Nothobranchius furzeri: one gene and its partner. The protein of the gene in region 1 interacts with the protein of each later gene in a pairwise test. Links are inferred from orthologs where the notes say so. Each region holds a gene or a part of one and is shown on either strand. Other genes may lie near its edges.

The links.
Region 2: the proteins of creb5b (region 1) and fosl2 interact in binary tests that used the Homo sapiens proteins (3 or more experiments, as listed by UniProt). The two-hybrid records come from large-scale screens. The link is inferred for Nothobranchius furzeri from reciprocal best matches to the Homo sapiens genes CREB5 and FOSL2.

Annotation. Positions count from the first base shown.
Region 1 is NC_091745.1:35,745,601-35,749,262, forward strand, and holds part of creb5b (cyclic AMP-responsive element-binding protein 5), read left to right. Parts: intron 1-3,136; coding exon 3,137-3,258; intron 3,259-3,662. UniProt on the Homo sapiens protein: Binds to the cAMP response element and activates transcription.
Region 2 is NC_091758.1:42,821,404-42,824,476, forward strand, and holds part of fosl2 (fos-related antigen 2), read left to right. Parts: intron 1-1,223; coding exon 1,224-1,478; intron 1,479-1,553; coding exon 1,554-1,661; intron 1,662-3,028; coding exon 3,029-3,073.

The DNA.
Region 1 (3,662 bases):
GCGGATGCAGACGCGCTCAAGTAGCCGATGCAGACGCGCTCACATAGCGGATGCAGACGCACTCACGTAGCGGATACAGACGCGCTCACGTAGCCGATGCAGACGCGCTCACATAGCGGATACAGACGCGCTCAAGTAGCCGATACAGACGCGCTCACGTAGCCGATGCAGACGCGCTCACATAGCCGATGCAGACGCACTCACATAGCGGATGCAGACGCACTCACATAGCCGATGCAGACGCGCTCACGTAGCCGATGCAGACGCACTCACATAGCGGATGCAGACGCGCTCACGTAGCGGATATAGACGCGCTCACGTAGCCGATGCAGACGCGCTCACATAGCGGATGCAGACGCGCTCACGTAGCGGATGCAGACGCGCTCACATAGCGGATGCAGACGCGCTCACATAGCCGATGCAGACGCGCTCACATAGCCGATGCAGACGGGCTCACGTAGCGGATGCAGACGCACTCACATAGCGGATGCAGACGCGCTCACGTAGCGGATGCAGACGCACTCACATAGCCGATGCAGACGCGCTCACGTAGCCGATGCAGACGCACTCACATAGCGGATGCAGACGCGCTCACATAGCCGATGCAGACGCGCTCACATAGCCAATGCAGACGCGCTCACGTAGCCGATGCAGACGCGCTCACGTAGCGGATGCAGACGCGCTCACATAGCCGATGCAGACGCGCTCACATAGCCGATGCAGACGCGCTCACGTAGCGGATGCAGACGCACTCACATAGCGGATGCAGACGCGCTCACATAGCGGATGCAGACGCACTCACATAGCGGATGCAGACGCGCTCACGTAGCCGATGCAGACGCGCTCACGTAGCGGATGCAGACGCGCTCACGTAGCCGATGCAGACGCGCTCACGTAGCGGATACAGACGCGCTCACGTAGCCGATACAGACGCGCTCACGTAGCCGATGCAGACGCGCTCACGTAGCGGATGCAGACGCGCTCACGTAGCGGATGCAGACGCGCTCACGTAGCGGATACAGATGCGCTCACGTAGCCGATACAGACGCGCTCACGTAGCCGATACAGACGCGCTCACGTAGCGGATGCAGACGCACTCACATAGCGGATGCAGACGCGCTCACGTAGCCGATGCAGACGCACTCACATAGCGGATGCAGACGCGCTCACGTAGCCGATGCAGACGCACTCACGTAGCGGATACAGACGCGCTCACGTAGCCGATGCAGACGCGCTCACATAGCGGATACAGACGCGCTCACGTAGCCGATGCAGACGCGCTCACATAGCCGATGCAGACGCGCTCACATAGCCGATGCAGACGCGCTCACATAGCCGATGCAGAAGCGCTCACATAGCGGATGCAGACGCACTCACATAGCCGATGCAGACGCGCTCACATAGCGGATGCAGACGCGCTCACGTAGCGGATACAGATGCGCTCACGTAGCCGATGCAGACGCGCTCACATAGTGGATGCAGACGCGCTCACATAGCCGATGCAGATGCGCTCACATAGCGGATGCAGATGTGCAGACGCACTCACGTAGCGGATGCAGACGCACTCACGTAGCGGATGCAGACGCACTCACGTAGCGGATGCAGACGCACTCACGTAGCCGATACAGACGCGCTCACGTAGCGGATGCAGACGCACTCACATAGCGGATGCAGATGCGCTCACGTAGCCGATGCAGACGCACTCACGTAGCGGATACAGACGCGCTCACGTAGCCGATGCAGACGCGCTCACATAGCGGATACAGACGCGCTCACGTAGCCGATACAGACGCGCTCACGTAGCCGATGCAGACGCGCTCACATAGCCGATGCAGACGCGCTCACATAGCGGATGCAGACGCACTCACATAGCCGATGCAGACGCGCTCACGTAGCGGATGCAGACGCACTCACGTAGCCGATGCAGACGCGCTCACGTAGCGGATGCAGACGCGCTCACATAGCCGATGCAGATGCGCTCACATAGCGGATGCAGATGTGTAGACGCACTCACGTAGCGGATGCAGACGCACTCACGTAGCGGATGCAGACGCACTCACGTAGCGTATGCAGACGCGCTCACGTAGCCGATGCAGACGCGCTCACATAGCGGATGCAGACGCGCTCACATAGCCGATGCAGATGCGCTCACATAGCGGATGCAGATGTGTAGACGCACTCACGTAGCGGATGCAGACGCGCTCACGTAGCGGATGCAGACGCGCTCACATAGCCGATGCAGACGCGCTCACATATGAGCAGACTAATCAGCATTTGTAGCTTAATTTCTGCTCATAATTGCTTTTTGGTGATGAGAATCTTTCAGTCTTTTGAGTGATGTTGGTCTGCAGTGTGCAAGTAGAGTCCATACGGGCTGAGAAAAGGAGGTATTCTCTCAGTTCTCAGGGGTCATGCCAAAGAAATCCATGGATCTGTTTTCCTAGAAGGATTATTAACCACTGCAGCTGATTCAGATTGGAGCCTCTTTATCACCAATGCTGTTTAGACAATGGGGCTCATGTCTTCTGGGTGTTGGTCATTAGCTGTCCGAATAATTCTCATATTTAGACACTGATCTGATGAGCTACAGCTCATCTTAGAGGTTTGGTTATATGTTCTGTCTCCCCAAAAGTAAGTAAATAAATAAATAAATAAATATATAAATAATTAAATAAAACAATATTTTGGGTTCACAAGTCATGTTTAAATGAGTAAATCTCCATTTCAGCCAGAAAAGATAAACAACAAAAATGTGCTTTTAGAATCAGCCATGATCATAAAAAATCACCTTTGAGTGTCAGAAACCTGAAATGTAAGCCCCCCCCCCCCCACCCCACCCCCCCCTGATGTCGGGGCGAATGCTGCAGCTTGTCAGAGCTCAACAAACGAGGCCCGCTCGGTTGGTGGAATCTGTTCTTTGTCAGCAAAAAGCTGCCGAGCAAAACGGACAGAACACTTTTCTGTAGAGCCGACGTGTGACAGCAAGTTCCATAGTTCTACTTTTTTCTATTTGTTATTGAAAAATGAACATGCAAAAATCCTAAATTAACACGTATTTCTCTCTATGATGATGATGGCACGCAGAAATAAAAAGACATAAATGCAAAGAACTGACAACACTGTGTTTGAATTCCAGACCAAACGCCAACTCCAACACGTTTCTTGAAGAACTGTGAAGAGGTGGGACTGTTTAGTGAGCTGGACTGCTCCATTGAGCAAGAGTTTTGCAAAGCCCAAGAAGAAGAAGACAGCAAACAGGTAAACTTCAAATAGCAACGTGGGTTTCAAAGGAAAAAACCCCAGAAATACCTAAAACCACAGCTATCAACAGAGTTTAGGTCATGATTCGTTATCTAGAGCCATCATAAACCCTGTCACACATAGCTGCCTGCATGAAACACTCTAAACAGAAACACCTAGACCTCTTAAAACCACACTGGGGACTTAAAAAAGCAAATAGCCACAAGGGTTTGAACTCATGTTGTGTATTTTCTCCTCTTGGTTCAAAATGTGAAGTTGTGTTACCTTTCCTTGTGCACAATGCAATACATTGTTAACACTGTTTTACTTTGTCAGTTGCGACATGTGAATGGAGATTTGTCACCCACCGTGAGTAAAGAGAATAGGGATCAGGTTCTTCACCTGTAACTTCAAAAACCTCC
Region 2 (3,073 bases), on another chromosome or scaffold:
GTTATTGATGCTGAAACATCCGGTCACGGGCTGGATGGATGGTCTGATTCGACCAGACAGCTCTCGGGCCGTGCATGGCACATTTCCTCCAGCGGGAAGCGCGCGCTTAGACCCACAACAGCGCCATCAAAAGCCCACACTTCCTTACTGAGGAAATGCCAGCTTGGTGAACCAAACCCTCCACTTCACAGGGAGTGTTGGAACGTGACGAGTGTTTATTCCCAAAAGTAGGATCTGAATCCGGGAACATGCCGTTTCCCCACGCCCCAGTCTTGGTACATTCTCTGGAAACGCGTCAGGCGCGCGCTGCATTACTGTAAACGACTTTTGGCCCGAACCTTCGGTTCTGTGTAATCATTCACTCAGAGCTCATGACTGCGCGCCGGAACAGGACACCCCCCATCCCGAAACAACACTTTATTACACCTGCAGGAATGCTATCACGCTCAAAGTGTTTAGGAATATTCACAACTCCCAGATCCTTCTCCAGAACGCGTTTGGGTAATTCTTCTGCTCCTCATATCCATTAACTGTCCCAGCTCGCGGCCGCCTCCTCATGATTGGAACCGAGAGAGATTCACGTGCTGAACGAATCCTGAACACAATGAGTCACCAGATAAACAAAGTTCCAGCAGACCGCCGGGATATCCGACGGAAAGTCGGGAATTACGCGCAAGGACGTGCGTACATTTGGAACGTGCGTGTGTTTGATTGTGCTCAAAACACAAAGTTTATTCATTTAATTTAGCCTCAGATCAACTATAAACCACAGTTTAACCTGACTGTAGGGAAAGTTTCACATATGTTCTTTAGAAAAGTCAAAAGTGAGCAGAAGGGTACAGATTTGGGTTGAAAGGAGAGGTTCTCCAGTCCAGGCCACTGGTTCCGGGCCTGTTGTAGTGAAATGAGATGAAGTGGACACCTTGGGCTTTCCCACATGATTCACAGCATGTGTCATTGTCCCTCTCCAGGGGTTCCAGTCCATGACGATTGAATCATTACTATAAAATGTGGGAAATGTGTGAATGTGGTAATGGTGGGTGGCGGTGGAGGTGACACTGAGTTTGAGCTGTGAGCTACACAGACACTAAGATGCTTATGGGATTAAATAGCGTCCTTTAGCTGCTCACCAGTTCCCCAGTTTTGGATCATTCCCCCCTCCACTGTGCATCCACGCCCCCTTTTTCCTGTTTCTCATCAGCTGCTTGTGTCTGTTCTTGCAGAAGTACAGGGTTGACATGCCCGGCTCCAACAGTGCCTTCATCCCAACGATAAATGCAATCACAACCAGCCAAGACCTGCAGTGGATGGTGCAGCCGACCGTCATCACCTCCATGTCCAACCCCTACTCCCGCTCGCATCCGTACAGCCATCACCTGACCAACGGGCCGGGGCTGCTGGCCCACAACGCCCTGGCTCGGCCCGGGGTCATCCGCTCCATCGGCGACGCCAGAGGTCGCCGCAAAAGGGACGAGCAGGTGAGAGACGCCCGAAAGTTTTCACACGGATGTCAGACGTCTTATTTAAAATAACGCCTCTGTTGTTCTGCGCAGCTCTCCCCAGAGGAAGAGGAGAAGAGACGAGTGAGGCGTGAGAGGAACAAGTTGGCCGCAGCCAAATGCCGCAACCGCCGGCGAGAGCTGACAGAAATGCTGCAAGGGGTGAGTTTAGAACCTGGAACCAGAACCTTTCTGTCTTCTACACCACGTTCAGTCATTTCCTAACAGAACGAGCTGAATTTAAGCAACACGAGGCTCAAAAGGCAGATTTGTGCTGAAAGTCTGAGCTCCACTCTTGCTTTTACAACCCGGTTTGACTCTTAAGTGCGAGGTCTGAGCGAGGAGCTGACAGGTGCTGAAAAGCTTTTTGTCTCGGCCAGCTGCAGACAGAGGTCGGGCTGTCTCACGGCTCACAGACAGCAAAGGCATCTAAATGGGCTAATTAGTGGAATTACTGTGAGGTTTGAGCTTGTCTGGTCATAAAGAACAAAAAAACTGGAACGGAATGTGCTGTAGGCAGCCGTCTGCATGAAAACAGGGTGTTTCGTGAAGGAGGACGCCGCTGGTGGAGACGCTCTGCGTCTAAGATCTCCACTTCCATCCTTCCTAACATCAAAATCCGGAAGAGGAGCAGAAATTTCAGGAGAAACTCGGCTTCAGTGTTTACTTTTCCCTGGACTGATCCCAGTCGACGCTTACGTCACACCTCTTTGCTCCTGTTGAACAACTTCCTCGTACCTTTGCCCTTGAGTCAAAGTTCTCAGACAGCACGTCGGCTTTATCTCACTTGATTGGACGACGCGCTGCAGAAGTGCATCTAATTCCTCCTCCAACACACAAACAGTCATCCGGCAAACTCGGGCTGCAGGGTGACATGCTGGGCGGGGTGAGACGCCAGCAAACCCTGCCCTCTGTGGGATCTCTGGGGAGTCGCAGACAGTCTGCTGCTCGTTTCATCAGATTTAAAAACAAAAAGTTCAAATAAAAACTGGCGGCAGCAGATTATTCATCTCATTTTTTATAAAAGTGTTGAAATCTGGAGCTAGAACGCCTCTGAAACACGCAGAATGAGTCACAGAGGAGAAAACATCTTCGATGTTCTGGAGAGCCTTCAGAACACGTCTTAGTCCGTTTATCTAAACGAGCTTTAATGCAGGAAAGCTGATGAATAAAACTCAGAAAGATTTCTTTTAAAAATGCAGAAAAGTTTAATAATCAGCCTCGTGGACGAAGAAATCGGGTTAAAAACGAATAAATGTAAAATTTCTGTATAACAAAAATGAAGATTTTCTTATTAAAACATAGAAATCACTTGTTTTATGAGACGTTACGATCTGAGGCACCATTCTAGTCTTTAGATTTAAAAATCTCTTTAAAATTTCTGCATTGTTTACGTTCTGTTTGTTTTTAATTCATCTTTATTTTCTTTTTTTGTGCTTTTTATTCCAGATTTGGCTGATTTCTAGTTTTTTACAGACTGCTCTCTTCCCGAGCGCCCCTCGAGCTCACGTGTTGTTTTTACCCAACAGGAGACGGAGAAGCTGGAGGAGGAGAAGGCGGACCTGCAGAAGGAG